3 linked regions of the Caenorhabditis elegans genome follow. The protein of the gene in region 2 purifies or fractionates together with the protein of the main gene of each other region. This does not show direct contact. Each region holds a gene or a part of one and is shown on either strand. Other genes may lie near its edges.

Evidence for each region. Proteins that work in one complex are often made in the same cells at the same time.
Region 1: the proteins of prp-9 (region 2) and hrg-11.4 fractionate together in Caenorhabditis elegans (co-fractionation; one large-scale study listed by BioGRID). This does not show direct contact.
Region 3: the proteins of prp-9 (region 2) and prp-6 fractionate together in Caenorhabditis elegans (co-fractionation; one large-scale study listed by BioGRID). This does not show direct contact.

Annotation. Positions count from the first base shown.
Region 1 is NC_003284.9:420,773-429,343, forward strand, and holds the start of hrg-11.4 (VWFA domain-containing protein), read right to left. Parts: upstream 4,864-8,571; 5' UTR 4,854-4,863; coding exon 4,757-4,853; intron 4,418-4,756; coding exon 4,228-4,417; intron 3,297-4,227; coding exon 3,054-3,296; intron 2,957-3,053; coding exon 2,705-2,956; intron 2,451-2,704; coding exon 2,371-2,450; intron 2,324-2,370; coding exon 2,178-2,323; intron 1,920-2,177; exon of another isoform or gene 1,875-1,919; coding exon of another isoform or gene 1,140-1,874; intron 1,087-1,139; coding exon of another isoform or gene 952-1,086; exon of another isoform or gene 935-951; intron 1-934. Other genes in the region: col-19 (Cuticle collagen 19), read left to right, coding at 952-1,086, 1,140-1,874; Homeobox protein dve-1, read right to left, coding at 6,915-6,998, 7,049-7,227, 7,768-7,915, 8,221-8,520, 8,571-8,571.
Region 2 is NC_003280.10:8,521,740-8,529,418, forward strand, and holds prp-9 (Matrin-type domain-containing protein), read right to left. Parts: upstream 3,658-7,679; 5' UTR 3,656-3,657; coding exon 3,512-3,655; intron 3,463-3,511; coding exon 3,304-3,462; intron 3,237-3,303; coding exon 2,710-3,236; intron 2,659-2,709; coding exon 2,397-2,658; intron 2,338-2,396; coding exon 2,152-2,337; intron 2,107-2,151; coding exon 1,882-2,106; 3' UTR 1,755-1,881; downstream 1-1,754. Other genes in the region: cht-2 (GH18 domain-containing protein), read left to right, coding at 1-359, 411-480, 532-1,080, 1,122-1,482, 1,529-1,698; mrps-18B (28S ribosomal protein S18-2, mitochondrial), read left to right, coding at 3,950-4,048, 4,129-4,222, 4,322-4,380, 4,424-4,504, 4,566-4,949; gldi-7 (Sodium/potassium-transporting ATPase subunit beta-1-interacting protein), read right to left, coding at 5,171-5,653, 5,733-5,855, 6,057-6,525, 6,581-6,813.
Region 3 is NC_003283.11:18,018,923-18,027,341, forward strand, and holds the start of prp-6 (Pre-mRNA-processing factor 6), read left to right. Parts: upstream 1-3,556; 5' UTR 3,557-3,564; coding exon 3,565-3,661; intron 3,662-4,914; coding exon 4,915-5,215; intron 5,216-5,714; exon of another isoform or gene 5,715-5,778; intron 5,779-6,473; coding exon 6,474-6,567; intron 6,568-7,662; coding exon 7,663-7,900; intron 7,901-8,419.

The DNA.
Region 1 (8,571 bases), on a different chromosome or scaffold from region 2:
AGGGACGCACAAAAAATCACTCTTCACACTATTTCTTTGTTGAATAGAGGTCAGCGGCTTTTAAAAATTATAATTTGAAAAAAAATTGGGACTTTTTCAAAAAAAAAGCTTCCAAACGTCCCTATTAGGAAATGTAAACTTATTCCCAAAAAATTAAAAATTCCAGAGAAAGTAGACAAATTTCAGAAAACTTACCGCGCTACATCTAATACTTTCTCATAGGTTTTTTTATTGGGAAACTGATGAAAATTATTTGAATTCATAATAAAATAAATTCGTATTTAGCATTTGAAAATTTGCACCAATGTATTATTTAATTTTTTTTTTCGAAAATTTAACGCATTTTCTCTCTAAAAACTCGAAATTTAGTGTGTTCTAAACAACAGTAAGCATACAATACCTTTGTTCAAAATTGACGTGCTTTCTGAACCAATATGGTTAGTTTCAAAAATTTTTGTATTATAGGATAGAAATATTTGGAAATAAATTTTAAAACCAAACTTATGCCTTTCTCTTTTAGTATCCCAGCTAGGTAATATTTTAGTATTTGCCCAAATCCTTGAAGTAAGGAGTATATAATTTTTGAAAAACAATAAAACTCCAGATAATTCATAGTTTTTTCTCGAAAGAAAATTTTTGAGATTAGTTATTGAACTTCATTTTTGAACATTATTCGTTGAAAAACACTCGCTTTGTCTTTATTTTCAAAAAAATTCCGATTTCCCCAACCAGAAAAAAAAACAGATAGAAGAAATTTCTCCTTAAATTTCATTGTCCATCTCTCTTGGAAACACATTATCTATCAAATGAAAAACGCATTTTTTTTCCTGGCAGAAAAATGAAATTGGTTAGATTACACTGGTTAGGTTTGAAGGTGTAACTTTCGCTTTCTCAGCAACTTTCAGTATAAAAGGAAACGGTCACCATTTAGAAAGACATCAGTTCATCAACATGGGCAAGCTCATTGTGGTTGGATCCTGCGGAGTACTTGTGTGCGTTCTTGCCTCGCTTTACACCATCGGAAACCTTCTCAATGAGATCGAGGAGCTTCAAGTTGAGTTCCAGGATGGTATGGTTGAATTTAGAGTAAGTTTTACATAAAGGAAGTTAGTGTTGTTATCAATTCACTTTGTGTTCAGGCTATCACCCAAGACACCTGGGCTCGTATGGTGAGCAAGCACATCAACCCAACCGGACACACAAATGCTCCACCAACCTTTGAGACTCTCTTCGGAGCCCGTACCGCTCGTCAAGCTGGATTCGAGCAATGTAACTGCGGACCAAAATCCGAGGGTTGCCCAGCTGGACCACCAGGACCACCAGGAGAGGGTGGACAGAAGGGAAATCCAGGACACGATGGAGACGATGGAAAGCCAGGAGCTCCTGGAGTTATTGTTGCCATCACCCACGATATTCCAGGAGGATGCATCAAGTGCCCACCAGGACGTCCAGGACCAAAAGGACCATCAGGACTTCCAGGATCTGCTGGACCAGCCGGAGGAAACGGAAGACGCGGACCACCAGGACCAGTTGGAGGACCAGGAGAGCAAGGACCACAGGGAGATGCAGGAAGACCAGGAGCCGCCGGACGTCCAGGACCAGCAGGACCACGTGGAGAACCAGGAACCGAGTACAAGCCAGGACAGCCAGGACGTCCAGGACCACAAGGACCACGCGGAGAAACCGGACCAGCCGGAAATCCAGGAGCACCAGGAAACGATGGAGAGGCTGGAAAGAACGGAAACGCCGGAAGACCAGGACCACCAGGGCATCCAGGAAAGAATGGAGTTCCAGGACAAAAGGGAGAGGATGCCGCACCAGGACCAGATGCTGGATATTGTCCATGCCCATCTCGTGCAGCTTACAAGGCTTAATTCTGCCTTTCTCTGTCTTTTTTATAAATTTTCGAACATTCCAAATTGTGTTCTGTTTCTGCACTTTTTTTTAAATTGCAATTTCACATGCAAATCAAAATACTTCAGCTTTTCAAATCTGGCAAATTTCTTTTTTTTTTTAATTTGGAACACTTTTTAAAAACCAACTCTAAAAACCAACTACTAGAATTATTTACCAAAATAGAAAATTATACCAAGATTGTCCTTCGAAATATAGTCCAGTTAAAAAAATTTTTTTGCCGGGCAGCCCCAGTCCACCTGAAAATAAAGCCACCTACGTACCGTTTCATTATACAGAATTCCTCCATTTTCACAAAACCTTGCTGGCGTCGTCGAAACGTGCACGGAAGGTGTTGTGAATGTAATTTCACTTAGGTCACAGCTAAAGTCGTAGATTCTCTGGAACCTGTTTCCATCACTATCGTATCCTAGAAACCGACAATGAGAGAAGGGAGAAAATAGAAAGGAGAAATACCTCTGAACTTGGCATGATACAAGTTTTGAGACGTACAGTTATAAGATTGTTGAGTGATATGAGGGGTACTGCAGCCGTATCTGAAAAATGGTTTTTCTGCCAAAGCAATTATGTTCATGATTCATCTTTGTTAAATCTAAATGTTCAGGCTTTATTTTTGAATTAAAAAATGCTTCTGCAATATAAACATGTATTTTTTTCAACAGAAAAAAGTTTACTTTCCTTCAATTTTTTTGGATCATCCAAAATTGAATAATGTAGAAAAATTGATTCTATTGAATAATGTAGAAAAAAATTACTCAATTCCAAATTTTTATCACTCTCAAACATTCACCTCAAGTTCAAATCCATTTTCTGATCGAATAGGCCGTTTACATAAAGATGCACCTCATCGGGATGAATTGGAAATTCTTCACTCTCGACTTTAAATGCTAAAAATGCTGCCTGATTTTCAAGTGGGAAACGGAATATTCCTTGATTTGCAGTGGAAAATATTACTTTCTGAACGTCATCGTCACGAACATCCTCTACAAACCCACCATCAACTGTCAGCTTTGTTGGAGCTCGGACTTCAAATATACACGGTCTGAATGATTTTATTTTTAAATGAGATAAGATTTCAAGAGTCTTTTTTTGATTTTTTTTTCACAATTTGGGTCATCTTGTTTTAATTGTGTGCTCACTTGTTCAAATCTGCAGAGAGCTGAACCGTATACGCTCCAGTTCCGTGAACATTCTTTCCGTTGCAGATAAGGTGAATTGTTTGAGTGACGTCCGTGGTGATATCTTTGCATGTGGACACTTCGCCTCCAATCGGATTATAAACTGTTGCCCGCGGATTGAGGGCGTCGAGTGTATTGATAATTACAAAGAACTCTTCGATAAAATTGTCGACGTAAAAAGTGAAAGTGTCGGAGCAAGTCGCACTGAAGATATGTGTATGTATTATGAAACATGTTATTAATCTGGTATTGGTTCTCGAATAACGTAATGAAAATCCAGATAGAGTTTTAGATTATTATTAAATCGCAAATAGAAACCGGAAAAATGAAAAATGGCAATTTTACTATCAACAACAAGTTTCACGTTTTTGACAATTTTCGAGTATTTTTTTTCGAGTACTTTAAAACACGCCTATGGTACCAAAATAACCGAATATCATGATTAAAAAATTCAAAAAAAATTTCTAAATTTTATATGATTTTTTGAAAATTGAAAAAAATCTCAGTTTTTGCCTAATTCCGATTTGAATTTCCGCCTATTGAAGTTGTTCGATGGAGCGCACTTGCACGTTTTAATTTTAATTTATTGTTATTTTGAAAGAAAATGCATGCATTTAAACGATTTCGAACTTGAATTTACAGATTTCACAGACTCACGCTTGTGAATTAGCTTTTTAATCAAAAATTAGCATTTATTTTGACTTTTTCGTCAAATTTCAGACAAAACTACATTGAAAACATGGAAAATTGGTGAAAAATATGACAAAATAACAATAAATTAAAATTAAAACGTGCAAGTGCGCTCCATCGAACAAATCCAATTGGCGTAAACTCAAATCGGAATTAGGCAAAAACTGAGATTTTTTCAATTTTCAAATTTTAAAATTAGAAAAAATTTTTGCATTTTTTTATCATGATATTCGGTCATTTTGGTACCATAGGCGTGTTTTAAAGAAATTTCCCCACTGGCGCCACTCCACCTTTAACTAGAATTAACATTTTCCAGATTCTATTCCTAAATTTTAATGAAAACACTGAGTGAAAATGTCCCACAGGCTCAATTTTTAGAACTGCTGGTTAGCAATCTCCGAGCACTCCACGATTTTCTACAATATTCCCTACTAAAAATGTATACCTGAAATCACTCTCCACTAAATCACCAAATTTTGCAGTACCGTCATGAGGCAGTATATCAATTGACTTATTGTAGCATGTCACTGGAGAGGTTTGATCCAACAGTTTCGGTCTTGAAGAGAAGGTAGGTTGAACCCGTTGAGAAGGTTCCGATAGATTTAGTGCAACAAGTTGTTTGAGTTTCGAATTCACTGAAATTTAATCCCTCTGGCTAAAACTGGTCAAAAAACGTTTTCTGTAAAGATTTGAAGAGGTTCTATTAAATGTGTTGGCTTGGCCTAGCCAGAAAGAGAATCCACTGGCGTTTCCACCAAATTCACTCTTGAAAAAATTGTTCTTAGTTGGTTATTTAATTCATCAAATAAAAATTCCCGCTAGAAGCACAAAAGTGAGCTCAATACCTTTCGTGTAGTTGTGACTCGGACCAGAACTTATGATGTAAACATTTTTAAGTAAGCCTGCTGTGTTTTTTCAATATGTCAAACTTTTGCCAATATTTTCAATTTTACGTGTTTTTTACTTAAACTTACAGCTTTTCGTTAGTTCGCCGTGTTGACTTTTATTGGGAATACTTACTCCACTACAGACCCGCAGTAGTAGAATACTTGTAATTACAAATTTGAGCATTTTACTGAAAAATCGTCTTTATTTAGAAGATATTTCTTAATGTAATAATTAAATAAAACTAAATAAAATTGTTATCAGGTTTTTTTTGTTTGAAAAAGTTAGTTTATCCAATTGAGGCTCTTAAATTAGTTGTCACTGATAATGCGATTATACTCTTCCATTGGCAAGTTGTTCTCATCTAGAATTCGAATAGAGCAGAGGTTGATGTGTTGTGAAAATTCAGTTTAAAATGTTTACATTTCAGGAACTTCTGGAAAAGACAGTGGGAAACAGAAATAAAAATGGTTAAGCGTTCCACTTTGCTTCCAGCTGTTGTTTTTACAGTCGAGAACTTGCAGGTTTTTTGTTACTTACAAGTTTTTTTATTAATCAAACAATTTTTCATGTGATTTATTCAAGTGAGTTATGTTTTAACAGTTGTATTACACTGGCAACGTTCTATAAAGCTTTATAAATTTTTTAAACCACCAATGAAACTTTGTTTTCACTTTAAAAAATGTTTATTTATGCTATTTATAGGATTATTGCAAAGTTTCCGCAAAAGTATAAATAAAACTGCTTTAAAAAGATTTTGAGGCAATTGTTAAGACGTTTTAGGCTGAACAAAAATTCTGAAATATTTAAAAAAAAAAATTTATTAAATTGTTTTGCCTATTTTTAGACTTTATTAAAAGCATTACAAAATTGCAAACTTCCTCATTTGTAATAGTTGCAAACGTTACAAAAGCAGTGAAAACGTGCTCGGAGAATATCAAATCGACTTCTTTATATTCCATTGTTATTTTTTGATGAAAACCCGCTTTAAGTTCTTATAAATTCAATTTGAAAGTCTGAAAGTGAGTTAAATTACTTTCCTAGTGAGTATAACTGGACTGCATGTTGAAGTGGACGACCTCTTCCAAGGCAAACCTACAACGTGTACGTCCTTGCAAGATTTGACTGACAATCCAAGTTTATGGAAAACTTCTTTTCTTTTCAGTTCTGCAATATTTCGAAAATTCGAATAAATTATCCAGCTTTGAAATAATAATTGTTTTTTTTAGTCGAAACTTAGATTGCACCTGACAAGTTGTTAGCGGAAGGAAGTAACTTCAGTGCCAGATTTTAGAACGAGTTTTCACCAACCAAGTTTTTTGTCGCTCTAGATAGTGTTCTGAATATTTTTTTACAAAAAATTTGAAAAGGAAAACTCAACTCGTACCCCTGACATTTTTCTCAGACATTTTTTTTGGTGCACGCGTGAAATGGCTCAAAACTTTATTGTTAAAATAGGGAGCTTTTTTCTCCAAAAATAGCTTTTTAAAAGTTATAATTTCTTGAAAAGTCTGAAAATTTTCTCCTACAATCATGTCTGTTTTTATTTTTGTGTGCCAATTTTTTAAATAAAAAATTGACCATTTTTTGTAAAATTTTTTTTCTGAAAAAAAAAACTTTATTTCTCAAAACATTCAAATAAAAAGAAATAAACGTGGTTGTATGTCAAAATTCTGAATAAAAGTTTTTGGCATATAAAGGGCTGAAGCACAACTGAAAAGCAGAGAAAAGTTTAAATTTGACAAAAAAAATTGAGAAAACGGTGGGCAAGATTGATATTGGAAGTGGTAGACATAAAATTAAGATGAATAATATTGGAAAGTAGTGTGACGGTAAGAAGGGAAACATTGAAAAACCATTAAAACTATGTGATCTGTGGAACATTGAAAGAGACAAAGAAAGCGATGGGAAATTGTTGATTGAAAGAAAGAAGGAAATTAAAGCCGGCTTAATTTCCCATCAAGGTTAAACAAGACAAGAAGCGACTAGAAGTTTTGCAGAACGAAAGATGCGTCGAGATATACAGCTAGCGATTAGGTGTAGCTTACAGACAAAAATCACAGCTGGAATGAAAAATGAAGTAGTGATTTTGCTCTTCGTTGAAGAGAAATTGTGGGGCACTGAAGATCAGGAATTCAAGGGGTACACCAGTATGACGGTTAAAGAAGGAACTATTGATGTGAAAAACTTAATGTTCTTTCGAAATTAAAGATAATAAGATTTTGAAAAAAGTTGGAAATTTTAATTTTATACGAAAACCTTCTGCTCAAGCTTTTCCTGCATTCCATTCAACAATCGCTTGCATTTTGCACGTCGATTTTTGAACCAGATCTGCAATTCGAATTCGATAACTAGTAATCAGTATTAATATAGAATATTACCTTCACATTGTGCTGACTAATATGCGGATAATTCTCTCGATAAGCGCAGTTGTTCAAGCATTGTGTGTACTGATCGATTTGCATCCATGTCGGGTGAGGATTCTCTTCGAACCATTTTTCGAGGACGGGTAGCTCGGTGAGTGGGTCGAACATCAGGCGTGAGCGAGCCGCTGAAAACACTAAAACGGAGATTATTTGCTTTATCGTTGAATTTTTTCAAACGTTCCGCGTCAGTGATTTTATCGAAAAATAGAAGTAAAATTCCACCTTAAAGTTTTCTTGTCGAAAAGATAGAGAATTTTTATGCAGTCATTTTTCATATGCATAGCAAACGCAATCTAAGAGCGTTTTAGAGATAGCAACCAATATAGGTTTTCAGACTGAGTATCATGAACATGGCCACCTTCTCGATAAGTTTGAGCCAGTACAAAATCCCTAGAATATTTCTCAAAATCAAGTTTGCAGTTGATTTTCTGTTTTATTTCTGTAAACACAATACCTAGCCTCATTTTTTTTTCCTCAGATCTCAGTGATCGTAATGGTTGTCTGTGCGAAATTCGACGCCCCACATTTCTCCCTTTGTTATGTGTCTTCGCGCACTTTGTGTATGTCTATGTGTGTTTGTGTGTGTGTGCTCGCTTCTAATTTATGAGTTCTTGGTTCAACCCATCTCCCTCTCTTTTCCGTTAGCCTGTCTGTTTTAAAGCTCTTTGTTGTACCTGATGAGTTGGCGTTTTGCATGGAGTTGGTGGATGATGAGTGGGTGCTGAATGCTCCGAGGTCGAGCCCGCTGAGAAGCTTTGGGGAGGTCGAGGACAATGATTCGCGCATTGAGTTTGCCATATCCGGGGAGGATGCAATTGAATCCTGTAGGAAATGTTGCTTGTTTTGGGATGAATAATTTTTAAAGGTGGACCATAATTGTGTCGAAAAATATTTTTAATTGGCGCTCAGCCGACGCTGACAGTTTGGAATAAATTCAGATTTTCGGCCGTAGTGTTAGGTCTTTATAACCTTATCGGTAATATTTAGCAATTTGGGAGATGTTATCTTTAATGTGAATCAGAATCGAAATAGCCGAAAATCCGTTTTTAGCGTGATTTTTCAAAGCTTTTCAGCACGAGCAACGCTAATCAACCTAACTATGGCACAAACAGTCAAACGTAACTTACAATTTCCGGTTCTGGTTTAATATTGATGGAAAACAAAGTATCTTGAATAGTTTCATCTGAATTGCTATGAATCTCATCATCGGCTGGAGATGGCGAGTCGGAGCCGCCGACAATCTTGGTTTCATCCAGTTTGTCGTAAAAATCAAATTTTTGACGTTGTTCTCCAAACAGGGACTGGAGCAAGTTGAGTTGGAATCCCGGGAGCAGCTGCGCCGCTGTCTGAGCTGACGAGACCTGCACTAGGTCTACTGGAGCTAAGGTACGGGAACTCGAGCGTTTTTGTGTGAACCAATTGCAAATCTGGAAATTCATTTGATTAATGGAGTAATATGTAGGCGCATTAAATTCACC
Region 2 (7,679 bases):
AACTTTGTCAAAGTTATTAAAGAGTACGGTTTTGACGGTGTTGATATTGACTGGGAATATCCCGTAACAGGCGGTGCTGTTGAGGGTACTCCAGCTGATCGAAGGAATTATGTAAACTTGATGAGAGAACTTCGAAATGAGTTGAGAGATTTGGAATCCGAAACAGGAAAGTCGTATCTCATATCGTTCGCTGGAGCAGCAGGACATTGGGTCTTGAAACCAGGATACGATCTACAACAATTGATGAAATATTGTGATTTTGTGAATGTTATGAGTTATGATTATTTTGGAGCATGGGCTTCGAAATGGGGTGCATACACTGGACCCCCAGCACCATTACAGTTTGCTATGCCGAAAAAGTGAGCTAAAATTAGTAAGGGGAAGCGAAGAGCAACGAAATAATTTTTTAGATTCTCTGGAAGAATGAACGTACATGCCACGATGAAAGACTACAGTTGCCAAATAAAAGCAACTGATAAGGTAAGAAACATTTTGGTATTTGAGTTACCGTAACCGTTAATCAACTTCCAGATAAATATGGGTGTCCCATTCTATGGTCGTTTCTGGAAGAATGTGGGTGATGCTGTTGACTCAACAGATGATATGTGGAGAACTGCTACGGCAACTAATTCAGAAGGCACAAAATTTGAAGGTGGAGATGTTCAATGGAGAGATCTGCACGAGAAATTTGATACTACAAAAACCAAGTTTCATTCTGGATCCAAAACCCCATTCATTTGGCTTTCTGAACAAAAAACCTTTGTTGGATATGAAAATGCTGAAAGTCTCAAACATAAAGTTGATTATATAGTTGAAAATAATATTGGAGGAGTTATGATATGGGCAATTGACTTTGATGATGATCAAGGTACCCTTCTGAACTCTGCTGCAGCTGAATCTATTTGTACCACATCAACAAAGTCATTCAACTACAAGTGTTCTCCAGTAGACGACAAAAGATGGTGGACATATGATGATAATGAGGAATTGGCTGGAATGTGTGGAAAATCGTCTCCATTGATTGATGGATATTATCCCGTTTGTGATCCAGATGATCCAGGTCATGCTTGTTGTGGAAAGGTTAGTACCACCGTGAAAGGCTTCATAATACCGTTTTGCAGTATGGCTATTGCGGTTCCGGTGCAGAATTCTGTTCTTGTCCTGAATGTATTGACTATGGTGCAGATCCAAATTTAATTTTGAAAGAACCAGTGAAACCAAGCCAAAAGATCACATGGTACACATCGGATGCTGGAGAAGGGAAACGTGGACGATGTGGTCGAGATGTTCCACCTTTAGAAGGAGAAGCGCCAACTTGTAATCCAGATGATGCTAATGCTCATTGTTGTAGTAATGGAGGTTACTGTGGAAATTCAAAGGAACATTGTGAATGTAATGGATGTATTGATTTTGCAAAACAGAGAGATTTCAAATATAAACCATTAGAATGGTGGACATTTTCTGAGAATCCAGCCAACGTTGGTGAGGGAACAGGCCCTCAATTCAACTTATAAGAATATATCTTCAGGTCGTTGTGGTTACAATGCTCCACGACTTTCTACTGGAAAAATTCCAAAATGTGATCCGGATTCTGAATCCTACTGTTGCAGTAATAGTGGCTATTGCGGAAAAGGAGAACAATATTGTAGCTGTTTAGGATGTGCTGATTTCAAGGCAAATCCTGCATTTGAGTATTAAACTTTCTCACTACTTATCTGAAACTGTATATACCGATAAATTATTTCAATTGTACTAAAATTACAAAAAAGTTTATCCATTAAATTTGAAAAATGAGACCAATTGGTTAAAAACTTACAGAAATGTAAGATTAAAAAGGAAAAAAAATAACTTAGAAGAACAATGGAATACATAAAATAGCGTCTACAGAAGTCCTTGTCTTTTCAAATCCTCATACATCTTCCTGGTGACCACATTTCCGCTGGAGTCCTCGTACTCCTCATCGATGTCCGGATTCCATTTAGCCATCTCCTTTTCGGTTTTCAATTTATTCCATAAATCCAGTGCATCTTTGATCTTCGTAATGTTGGCGAAATGAGAGGTATTCGGAATTCCAAGACATCTCATTCCATGAGAATGTCGCCACTCCTGCAAATATCAAGTTTTTGAACGAGACCAATATAATGAACTTACGTTGAAATGCTTTTGGAACGCCTTTGGACCTTTGTAAGTTTGATTTCCACAGATTTCACATGAATATGATAGATTGAGGCCGTGAAGTTTGTACAACCAATACGGAATTGGCTTTCCATCCCAACCAAGCGGTAGATTTTTTGGATTATATGGTGCACTCTCATCAATTTCTTCCTCTTCCTCGATCTAAAAAATGAATTTTTAAATGTTTCTAAAAATAACTAGAGAAAATAATTCAAACCTACCACAATTTCCTCCTCCTCCTCTTCTTCGACCTCTCCAGCAGATCTAGCTTGTTTTCTCTCGACATTTTCGCGAGTTCCAGTACGTTCTTCAGCTAGAATATCAGCAAGTGCCATAATATGAGCTTCCGTTTGTGCCAATGTCAAATTTTTAGCGTTCTGCTTTTCGGCATCGGAATTATTTGAAGACATTGCTGCTTTTTCGAGATCTGACAGTTTATGCCCTTTGGTAGCGAAAAGACGATCAGCGCGTTCTTTCAGAGTTCTGAAAAATAACGAGGACTACAATTAAAAAATCCAAATATTTTTAACTCACCCTCCACATTTCAGACCAATTGCCATGAGAGCTCCTTTCAAACGTTCCAATCCCAATCCCTCGAGTTCTTCAGCACTATTGTATGGAGATAAATCCACAGCAGCTGCTTGAGGTCCGTTCTTGTTTTTATCAGCTTCCCAACCAGGAAGATTCCCTGCTTTAAATGCTCTTTCTACAGTTTGATTAACCTCAGAGAAAACTGAATCGAGATCATGGAGTGGGCGAGTTCGTTGCATGAAAGAAACAAGATAGTCTTTTAAGGAATTGATGTATTCTTTATATGCTCCTGTCTTCTTGGTAGTATTTTTCGGTATCTCTGTGAATTTCTCAAAATTCAACAAATACGTCATGTAATCAACCCTTTTGATGTTCTTCAAGTTAATGAATTTGTCGTATTGTGCATGAAGATCTAGAAAACGACCGTAAGCTTCTTCATCACTGAATTCAACCATATCTGGCTCGGCTCTTTCAGGGTTGATGATTTCTTCATTGATTTTTTGGAACTCCACGGTGAGTGGTTCGGCAAGCTGAAAATGTATAGAAATTATATTACAACCAAACTTAATTGTTTCCGGGGAAAATAACAAAACTAACCTCGTCTGGATTTCTTCTGTGCGCATCTTTGATGACCTTCAGTCTTGAATAAAATTCGGCGAACTCATTTGGACCAGAAACTGAATCCATTTCCATGCTCTTCGAACCGTCTTCATCTTTATAAAATTTGGCAAGCTCGGCGGAAACTGAATAGTACCTCTGAAAAATAATAATATTGAATTGAAATAACATAACAGTTATTTCTTACATCGACAAATGTTTTCACTCGCTGTTCGCTATTAACTTTGGCCTTATGCGTTAACTTTTCTGCAATTTTTTCCTTAACAGTTATATCGATTAATCGTTCCCGTTCCTCGTGCAAGTTTCTGATGGTTTCTAGACACGAATCCATTTCTGTAAAGTTTTCTTACAACTAAACATTTAAAAAATATTAAATTAGTGAATAACTATTCATAAAAAAGATTAAACAAGACAGAAGAATAAAAATTTGAGAAAAATAAGATGTTCGAAAATGTGCAACTTGACGTGACGGTGAACACACATTCCTTGCGTACACCGCATTTAACTTGACGCACAAAGTATATTATTTTATTTTTAAGTTTTTAATTGTAATTTAAAGCTATAAGCTTGTACTTTTTAAATATAATTAAATTGTTTAAAAGTTGTCTAAGTCAGTATTTCAGGTATGTTAGCCACTGGGGGATCATTCGCACGAAGGCTGATTCATTCTTCCTGCCGATTGGCTTGCGAAGGAAAAACTAAAGAAGTTCCGACTCCAGAAGAGGTAACTGATAATATATTTGAACTAAACTAATTTCTATGTTAAATTTATAAACAATTTTACTTAAAAATCGATATATTCAGGCCGGATACGCTTACAATCATGTTGAACGAAAGAAGGGAATGTACAAACCACAACACAGTATTGCCGAGCAGATTTCCTATATGAAAAGTCGAGGTAATATTCAATTTAGTTTCAAAAACAAAATAAGAGGAATTCTTTGTGTACAGCTTTCATGAATGCCAATTAAAAATTAAATTATTTAATATATTTCAGGATACGCAGAGGCTTACAAAGGACTTCCGATTTACAGATGGTATAAGAGAAACATCAAGGTAATTTGAATTCGAAAAATAAATAAATTGATTGAAAATTCAGGGTCAATCGAAACTTCAACCACCTCCAAGACTTTTCTGCATTGATAAACACGGCCGATTCAATCTAAATCATGCTTGTCCAGTAAGTTTTTGTAACAGCAACTAACATTTGCAGATATAACAAACAAATTCACGAATTACAGGTGTGCCGTGACGAATATCTATACTTCGACTACCGAAACCCAGGTCTCATTGAACAATTTTTGGCAGATGGCACCGACCAACCAATCGATATCCTGAAGAGTGGACTATGTCGTGAACAGTACACGCTACTTCGTGCACAACTTCTGAAAGCAAAAGAACATGGAACAATCACATTTGGAGTAGAATTCCGAAACTTTGATTATCGTCAATGGTACAAAAGCTGGACAGATGAACCTGGAAAGCCTGTTGAGAGAGCTGGTGTACGTCTGCAAGATATTCATCCAGATCCACTTGTTCACTTCCCAACATTCAAAAATGACAAGAACAACGACTGGGACGAATGGTGGATTCGTCATGATAAATTTGCCAAGAAGGCAAAGTAATTGTTTTAATTTTCCTAGCGTGTTCGGTTTTCAGCAATTTTCTTCGAATTTTAGTAGGTCTCTATCGTAATTTGTTATCACTTGTTGTTGGTTCTAATAAAAATTGAGCTCAATTATTTAAACATTTATTTTAAAAAAAGCAGAAAGAATACAAAAAAGAAAGAATAAACCCGTATATAGTGCCTAGAAAAAGACGGCAAGACATGAGATTTGAGTCAAAATTAAACAAGAAGTCCACCACTAGTCATCACGGGATAGTTAGATTCATTCTCAACAACCGATGGATCACTGGAAAGTGGAATTTCGTTGGGAGCGTGATAGTGACTTATAACACGAGCATTTTCAGTTTTCTGGACCCTGAATGCACTTTTATAAGACTGATTCTTGGCTCCTAGTTGCTCCGATAACCGTATTCCTGGAGAAAGAATCGGGGATGGATCAACAGTTGATAACGAAATTCCACCTTTCCCAACAATGTGAGTTTTGTGTGCCAACGAAGCTCCAGATGTTCTAGAAGAAGATCCAGAAGTTGTAGAAGATGGGGCTGGAGAGTTGAGCATCGGAGCAAACATTGAAGGAACCGAATCTTGAGAAGCATTTCTTGATTTATAGTCAGAACTCAAAGGGATAGTAGAAGCCGGTGCAACTTCAGAGTGTCCAGAAGATCTTGATCGGAGTCGTTCGTACATATCGTAGTCTGGCGTCTGAAAATTATAGATATTATTTCAACTATGAACTCTTGATATAAATATTTTGTATAGAAAATCATTCATGAAAACTCACATCTCTATCAGATGGCTCTGCCTCCAAATGCTGACGTATTCGCAAAAGAGTCGCACTTTTTGGGTCGAAGCTGACTAATGATGTGACATTAGTTCCACGATTTTCTTCTTCTAGGTCAGGTCTCTGAAAGAAAATATAGCAGTTGTGAAATGAAATATTTTATTCAACTAAATGACTACAGTAACCATTTTGTACTAATTTAATAATTAACCATCAAGTTTTCAAAAGTTGTAGCCAAAAGTTTCTACCTAAAACGACTTGAAAATCATGTATAAAATTATAGAAAATGGAAACATTTAACCAATTCAAAACAAACAAACTTACTCTCAACGGCATAATTTTCTTTTTAATTGGCTGTGTGTACACATCCTCCAAATTACTTTCTTCTTCTGATGATCTATTTGAAGAACACGGAGCACAATCTGGAGCTGGCATTTCTGGACGTGGATTCTTTTTCTTCTTCTTTGAATTTCTCTCGAATTGTCCTTTGACTTCTTTTTTCTCTGTCACTTTCACTTTTTCTCTCGAAGATCCTAAGTCGTCATATTGTGAATTGAGGTATCCACTGCTAGAATTATTCGTGGAACTTGGAGCTTTGGCAACTTTTGATGCACATATTTGAGCATAATGGTTAATTGATTGGGAATTTGATCTTATTGGTTTCTTTCGAAGTTCCACAATCACTAAGATCGAGAAAATTGAAGTTACGATTGCAAAAATAATATGAAGAATTGCTTGAGATGCTTCGACTGAGTAGAATGGAATGAGACACTGTTTTTGAACCCATTTCTTTCTGGAAATCATTTGATTATTTCATATTTCCAATTAGAATAAATGAAATCGCTCACCTTATCACATCAAACTCGGCATCACAATATGGTGTGAATCTTAAGAAAAACGAAGAAGAGTACGGTAGTCCAGCCGAAAGATATGGTCTTGAAATTTCTCCGAAGACTCCGATATACCATAGGAAAATGAGCACATTGATTGTAACGGAAAGAGCATTTGATGAGAGGAGAGTGTAAAGAAGTGGACGTCGTTTTTGAGTAGCACCGAATAAACCCGAGATCAGCAAGACAATCTGAAAATATTCGACTTGTTCTTTCCTATCAATTTATGATATTCACACTTTCAATTTTCCCTGAAAATTTTCTGTTCTTCTAGAAATACTAGGAAATCTTAATCTCATTAATCCCAGTTTTTCCTCAAAAACATGAATATTTTTGTGTAAACTTTGCAAACCATTCTTTCCCGATCCCTGCCCATAATTAGACAGGATAGTCGAGGTCAGACACAATTTTTCGTCGAAAAACTGGCAATTATCTAGAGAATAAGCAGGAGTGTCTCTACCTACTCATGTTATATTTAATCACGATGTCAGAAATAACGGGCGGTACGGTTATTGAGATGGCTATGTACAGAATGATGGCGCCAAAAGTGGCAAGGTTGGGCGATTTGAACTAATAATAAGACTGGAAATAAATATTTTATTATGAATATTAATGTATTCATATTTTTTCTTTAATTGGATATAGAAATTGGTGCACTCGAACTACTGTACTTTCTCTATCAGTGCTGTGCCCCATTGCTCAAGTTATGATATGTAGAAATTGGATATAATTTTTCGAAGTGGAGCAATGAAGTACAATACCAATAGTAAATTAAAGTATTGCTTTATTTTGAAACTACTCCCCCGCGAATTCACCCCTTTAAGACTAAACTTTAATTTGAAAGTTTCAAAAGTTTGAAGAAGGGCAATCAAATGGGAATTAACATTTCATTCTTCTTCTCTTTCTACCAATTTTGTGTCACAGCGGGAGAGAGCTTAGCCCTTCACCTCCGTTTTCAGGGTCATTCTAATCCTCTTTCTCTCGTTCTACTTGTTCTCGAAAACTACCGTATAAGAATGCGAATAATAATTCTAATAATCATGATTCATTTGATATA
Region 3 (8,419 bases), on a different chromosome or scaffold from region 2:
TGCTGCTCCTTGTGTGCATCCATCCGGATTTCACGGCGTAAATGGTTCACGTGGTTGTTCCTTATATGTATCGACTGTACGGTTGTCCCTTGAGCAATGGTGATAGATGTGCTCGATGTTGCTAGCGTCCATTGTAGAGTGCATAATTATGCAATAATTATGAAAGTCGTGATCGTTGGAGATTCTTCTCCATCGTATTCGCGACAGTTTCTTTTAACGATAGCATTGTAGCGACTTTCGAAAAATCCGAGAATAGAAACCCCGGCGACACACATTGAAACTATGAACATGTGCCCTTGGATAATGGAGGATACACCAAGATCTGTGAGTATTCCACGCATGTAGCCACCGAATACCGGTACGAGGTAGTATTGGGTGGATAGGGCACTGAGGAATAAGTCCAGGAAGGCACTACTGGAAAGATTTGAATTGTTGTCAAAGGAGCATATCCTCACTTTATGGGGCTATTTAAGTAGTGTCGGAAAATTAAAAAGTGCTGAAAAATATTGTAACAGCTGTATTTAAACACACACTTTATACATAGTCCATTTGCCGTTATCGGTCATTCGTTAGCCGATTTTGATCGAATTACAAATTCAGGGTCTTGTTAAGAAAAACGTGTGCAATTTTACAAGTTTTTTATTCATGTTCCTCAATAGTTATTATTTTGTTCTAAATACACTTCTAATACACTTTGGAAGTAAATAAGACATCAACATTTATTGATAAATTCATTATGTTTATCCGAAAAATATCCGCGTATAAAGTATAAAAGTAAAGTATATGGCATTTTCAGATGTGTATCTTACTAGTCCCATGTTAATTCGTTAACGAAGAACTATGCTTTAAAGTTCAAAATTAAATTTTGTAATCAATATGATTGGAAAAATCAATCTGACTACAAACTACAAAGACCTACCAAAAATGCATGAACACCATCATCCATTTAACAGAAGCCATTGTCGGTGGAGTTTTGAATATGACTATATAAGAAGCTAACAAGTGAATTGGAATTTCTATCATTGCAATTGGATGAAGAACTGACGGAGCAAATGTGTCAAGCTCATACGTGGAATTTCTCCACAGGCACATGAATAGTATGGGCAAATTATGATGATGTTAAGCACCAGAGCAATAGATGTGTGTCTCAGACTAACCTACATACAACAATAATGAATATCCAACATTCAAGAAGTAGATGTTTCATTTTATAAAGGCCAACAGCACTAACAATTAGTAGTAGTTTCACGGAAAACTTATCTGAAATGTCATGAATCGTGAAATTTTGTTGCTTTCACGCCATTCATCATCGCATGTACTTTTTTTTTTAATAATGGATGTTTTTGTACCTATGCTTTTATTTTAATACTTAGCGTATTTTTCTATTTTTAGCGTGATTATATATTAATCATATCATATGTAATCGCCAGCAAAATTTACTAGTGTTCTGAAGCGCTTCATGAAGTACTTTTCCCAAATTAAAGAAAAAACTTTGAAACACTATGGAAAAATGACCAACAGTACTATCATAGAGAATATACGGTATGTATGTATGTATATGACACTAATTAATTAATATACGCGTATATATGTGTATATGCCCTCTTTCTAAAATTTTTCATAGATTTTTTAAAAATTTTGCAACAAAAAAACATAGTAAAATTAAGTCGTATAACTATGTTCTAAATTCAAAAAAGAACTCGATGCAGTTTCAAATGTCCCCCAATCTTTTCTGAACACCTATACAACATAATTACATGTACACATTATTATAACTAAATAATAATAAAGTGACCTCTCTCTCTCTCCCACTCCTGCGTCTCTTAATCCCTTCGTATTCATTTTATATTCCGTGACCGCGCGAAAGATTGCGGTCGGCGATAAAATAATTCGATATTCCGGGGGCGATTCTGATCAAACGACGTTATTCCACGTTATATTGCGATGACTAAGTTGTTCGAATTGAAGGTGAGTCGTTTTATTAGTTTGGTCTGCTACACTACAAACTACACAAAATGTTGGCAGACCCAATCGGTTTTTTTTTTGCATTTTTCGCGGGTTCCGGTGGGTTTTCTTCAAAAAATAGTTTGTAGTCCAGAAAACCCACAATACTATTCCTTCTCGACTATGTCGATAAATGTCGTTGGTCTGCTACACTACAAACTACAAGTTTTGCCAGACCAAACCGATTTTTTTCGTCATTTTTCGGCTTTTCATACCAATTTTTTGTAGTTTGTAGTCCAGCAGACCCAATAGACTCTATAAGTCGAAAAAGCTTTTGGTCTGCTACACTACAAACTACAAGTTTTGGCAGACCCAACGGATTTTTATTAATTTTTTGTGGGTTTTGTCATTTATAGACCGTTTTCAGCTTATCAGACCATATTTTTTGTATTTTGTAGTCTGACAAACCGAATGACTGTAAATGTTTAAAAAAAAAGGCACTACGGTCTGCTAGACTACATTTTCAGCCGGTTCACGTGATTTTTTGGGTTTAATTCAAATTTTTTGTTTTTCCAATATACTTTTTTTCCAAAAAATAAAAAACTTTTAAACCAAAATTTGAGAAAAAAAAGTTTTTCTAATTTTTAAAGGTTTTCCTTCGAAATTTCACCGATTTTCTCAAATTTTTCGAGCTTTCCCAGGTTTTTAATATTGCTCTTTCAGATTTTCTACTTAATTTTCCACTAAACTTCCATTTTCCCCGGTTTTCAGTCCTTTTTTCGACTCATTTCTGTTTATTCTCCAAATTGGTGTCTGCAAGCGCGCCCCATCGCACTTTCGCTTTCGAAACTAAAAATAATAAATGCGTTGCGGAAAACCGATAAATTCTCGATTTTCGCCGATTTTCTTGATTTTTAAGCTATTTTTATTGTTTTTCATTGAAAAATTCGATTTTTTCGTTAATTTTGCATTATTTTAATGGCAAAAATCGCAAAAACCATAGAAAAATGTCTGCGAGCCGGGGTTTTTGAGAATTGGCGTTAAAAACGAAGATTCCCCGGGTTTAACGCGTTGTAACCTGTTTTTTGCTGCAAAATTCGAGTCTTACGTTATTTTTTCAACTTTTTAACATAGAAATTAATCGGAAAATGTAGAAAATTGATGGAAAACTTGGATTTTTGGATAATTAAAAAAAAAAATTGATTTTCGCCAGATTTTCGAGATTTCTACCATTTTTCTAGATTTTAATTCAATTTTACCCCAAAATTACCAGCTAAAAGTCATTTTCCCGAACATTCCCATCTCATTTTACACCTTGAACCACTAGAAGCATTTTTTAGTGTAATAAAAAACATATGTCCACCTATCGGGCCACTTTTTTGCCTCCCAGGCCGTAGGTGTACTATTATCTTCTCGTATTTCACTAATTCCAAAGAAAATGCCGAAAACTAGTCGAAAAATGGTGGAATTTGAGGTAAAAATGCTGAAAATTAACAATTTTGGTTCAGAAAATTCCCATTTTAGCCGAAAAATATGCAAAAACCCGACATTTTCTTCAATCTTTCCCGAAAAACCATTAAAAGATCCCATTAAAAAATCAATAATCCTTCAGGTTGAACCATGGCGACGACAATTCCAGGATCACTGGTCAATAAGACCAAAAAATTCTTTATGGGAATGCCAGCACCAACAGGATATGTTCCTGGAGTTGGTAGAGGTGAGAAATCGCAAAAAATTTTGTGAAAATTCGAAAAAAATCCGAAAAAACTCCAAAAATAGCTGAAAAACAGCGAAAAAATCGATTTGGTCTGCCAAATAATGGTCGTAGTTTGTAGTCCAGCAGACCCAAAGCTTTTGGGTCTGCCAGACTACAAACTACACGTTTTCAAGCGATTTTTAGCAAAATTTGCAGTTTTTTCAATACAAAACTGGGAAATTCACGTTTTTTATTGAATTTTACAGTTTCAGGGCAAAATCCAAAATTTTCAACAAAATCACTGAAAAATACGCTAAAAACAAAAAATCCGCCAAAATTCGGTCGAAAATGTAGTTTGTAGTCTAGCAGACCCATACGCTCGATTTGGGTCTGCTAGACTACAAACTACACTTTTCGACAAAATTTTACAATTTCAAGCGATTTTCTTGATTTTTTTTTTGTGAAAATTTGCGAATTTTTATGGAATTTTTCTAAATCGGTTTTTTTCCAATAAATTTGTGAATTTCTTGGGTTTTGTGCGAAAATTGGTTCTAAAACGTGTAGTTTGTAGTCTAGCAGACCCAAAACTGGTCTGCCAGGCTACAAACTACATATTTCGATTAAATTTTGCTGTTTATCGGCGATTTTCTGCAATTTTCCAATAAAAATTCACAAATTTTGGAAAAAATCCCTTCAAAACTGAGAAGAAGCGCTCAGAAAATTAATATTCAGTTGTAGTTTGTAGTCTACCAGAACTATGCAAGACTACAAATTACAAACTACAGAAATTATAAATTTTCTGCATCGAATTTTTAAAAAAATGCAAAAAACACACATTTTCGGCGAACAACGAAAAATGGTCTGCTAATGGTTTTTTGTAGTATTTGTAGTCTGGCAGACCCAATCTTTGTGGCGATGGTCTGCTAGACTACAAACTACAAAATCTCGCCATTCCTGCAATTTTCGTCAAAAAATCACTTTTTTGCAGCGTTATTTTTTGCAAAAAACATAAGATTTGATATATATACATATATTTTCAAATAATATTGTAGTTTGTAGTCTAGCAGGCCCAAAGTTTTTTGGTCTGCTAGACTACAAACTATAAAATCGCAGGTTTTCTCAGATAAATCGTTCAATCTCAGCCACTTTTCGTTAAAAAATCATATTTTGTCGAATTTTCGGCAAAATTAAATAAATATATATATTGTTATTAAAATAATATATTATAGTTTGTAGTCTAATAACAGACCTCTAAAATCATTATAATTCCACAGGTGCCACTGGCTTCACAACTCGTTCTGACATTGGTCCAGCACGTGATCCCACTGAACTACCAGAAGCCGGACCAGTCGGACCATCACCACAAGGAGCTTCATCGTCATCAGCTCCACCAGCAAAGCGAGCCCGGGATGATGATGGAGATGGAGAAGATCTGAACGAGGCGAATTATGATGAATTTTCGGGTTATAGTGGAAGTTTGTTCTCGAAAGATCCGTATGATCAGGAGGATGAGGATGCTGATCGTATTTATAATGAGGTTGATGATCGATTGGATGAACGGCATAAGGAACGGAGGTGCACAGGAAGACCACCTAAAACTACAAAAAACACCTCTTTTTAGGGGCTGAAAACATGACAATTTTGAGATTTTTCAGCGAAAATACGTTAAAAATCGCATGAATTGCGAGATTTTGTAGTTTGTAGTCTCTCAGCAGGCCATACCCAATGGGTCTGCTCGACTACAAATACTACAAAAAACATTCAAAATTTTGAATTTTAGCAGGCCAGGACTACAAGCTACACCTTTTTTTTTCGAAATTTTTCAAATTTTCATTAGAAATCGAGTAAAAATGCGGAGAATTTCAGAAAATCGCCGAGCGAAAAGTGTAGTTTGTAGTCTAGCAGACCAATTTGGTCTGCTAGACTACAAACTACATGTTTTAGAGCCAATTTTCGCACTAAAGCCGATAGATCCACAAATTTTTTAAAATTTAAAACGAAATTTCGATTTTTAAACGAAAAAATCGAAAAACTGGGAAAATTGCTCGAAAAATTGTAAAATTCTAGCGAAATGTGTAGTTTGTAGTCTGGCAGACCTTCGCCAAAACTATTTGGTCTGCTAGACTACAAACTACACGTTTTAGAACGAAAATTCGATTTTTCAAGAAAATTCCAGAAAAATCCGCTTATTTGCACGAAAAACTGGGAAAATCGCTTAAAAATCGTAAAATTCTGGCGAAATGTGTAGTTCGTAGTCTGGCAGACCCATTTTCCCAATTTGGGTCTGCAAGACTACAAACTACAATTATACGCTGTTAGCTTATTCGTTTTAACGACTTTTTGTCGAAAATCTCTTTGAAATGCGTGAAAATTATCTTTTTTTTCGCATTTTTGTAAAAAAAATCAGGTGATTTTGCCAAAAATCCGGCAAAAATTGATTATTTCATCGAAAAATTGCTATTTTTGCATAATTTCCCGTCAAAAAATGATTAAAAGTTGACGTTTTATGCGAAAAACCGATTGTGAACAGCTATTTTTGTAGTTTGTAGTCTCTGCAGACCATTGCCAAAACTATTTGGTCTGCTAGACTACAAATACTACAAAAACATTAGCAGACCCAATTTTTTTTTTCTTCAAAATTGGAAGCTTTCCGCCGAAAATCGAGTTTTTTTTTTGGATTTTTTACAAAAATCCGATTAAGAAAATTTAATAATAATTTCTTCAAGTTTGTAGTTTGTAGTCTCTGCAGACCACCAAATTCATTGATTTTTGGTGTCTCTTTTATACAATATTTGCACACACACTTGTTCGACAAATATCCTTTTTTTTTCAGAGAGAAAAAGTACAAGGAGCTCGTCGAACTCTTCCATAAAGACCGCCCGAAAATTCAACAAGGATTTCAGGATTTGAAGAGACAATTGGCTGAGGTATAGGCGATTTTTGAGTGAAAAAATTGCATTTTCATCGAAAATTTCAGCTTTTTTTATCGAAATTTAGCTCAAAAACCTCTAAAAATGGGGGTTTCGCTTCAAATTTGATGGAAAAAACTCGAAAAATAACGAATTTCCACTCAAAATCACTAAATTTTTTCTCGTAAAAACTGTTAAAACTTCATATTAGGTCTCCAAATAAATTCCGGGTCAAAAATCATAACTTTGTTCGCTGCAAATCGATTTTTATAAAACTTTAGGAATTTATGTTATCAACCATGATCTTTCATTTGACAATAGTCACAAAATTTTTTGACCGTCCGAAGTGCCCTAACTCGGAGGCAAATTTTTCAGGCATTTTTCAGATCTCGCTTTTTTTAACCTTTGAATTGAGGTTTGTGTGCGGATTTTGCTTTGTTTAGTACACAATGTAAGAAAACAAAAAAAGTTTGGAAAAAAATCCGTCCAAAAAAATTTTTGTCGAAAATTCTTGATCTTTTATACAAATATGATGTAACCATGTGCAAACTATTTTTACACATACAAAACATTTCAATTTAGTGCGTCACACTGAAATAATAGCAGAAAACATATATTTTTCGAAATATTTTTGAGTTTTTGGAGTATTTCTCGAGATCCAAATTTCATACTCAAATGTTTTGTATGTGTAAAAATAGTTTGCACATGGTTACATCATTTTTGTATAAAAAATCAAGAATTTTCGACAAAAATTTTTTTGAAGATTTTTTGAAGATCGACAAAAAATAAATTTTTTAGACGGATTTTTTCCCAAACTTTTTTTGTTTTCTTACATTGTGTACTAAACTAAGCAAAATCCGCACACAAAGCTCAATTGAAACCTGAAAAGAAGCAAGATCTGAAAAATGTCTGAAAAAATTGGCTCTGAGTTAGGGCACTTCGGACGGTCAAAAAATTTTGTGACTATTGTCAAATGAAAGATCATGGTTGATAACATAAATTCCTAAAGTTTTATAAAAATCGATTTGCAGCGAACAAAGTTATGATTTTTGACCCGAAACTTATTTGGAGACCTAATAGATTCACGAATTCCACCAAAATTCCCTTTTTCAGGTAACCGAAGATGAATGGCAAGCGATTCCAGAAGTCGGTGATATGCGTAACAAGGCAAAACGTAACGCCCGTGCCGAGAAATTCACTCCCGTTCCTGATTCAATTATTGCGATGAACATGAATTATGGACAAATGAGCCATTCAATTGATTCGGGAAATGGTCTCACAACGCCTTTTGCCAGTGGATTCATGTCTACGTTGGGTGGTGGTGGTGGAGCAGCTGCTGCTGGAGCAAAAAGTACGGCTGGAAATATTTCTGAAATTGAGCAGAGAAATTGCTGAAAATTGTGAAAAAAACCGATTTTTAGGCCAAAAATTGACCAAGACACGACACGGAATCAGACACGGAATTTGAAAATTTTCAATGGAACTGAAAAATTTTCCCGAAATTTGTAGTAGAAATTGCCGAAAATTGGGGAAAGTAACCAATTTTTAGGTTAAAAATTGATATATTTCAATGATCTAATTCCACAGGAAATTGAATTTTTGGCCAAAAATTTGAATAGAAAAATCAATAATTCCCGCAGAATACCCCTTGAAAATTGAGAAATCTAAATAAAAACTCAATTTTCCTTGTAAAAATCTTAGTAAGGAAGTAAGGAAAAAAAGTAAGGAATTGGCTGAAAAATGGGAGAAAAAGCAAAAAAAACCTCAAAAATTCTCCTTTAAAAATAGCATTTTCCCGTGTATTTATATGCAAAAAACCGCCTCCTGGTTCAGAAGATATTCTAATTTTTGGTCAGTTTTTGGAAAGTTT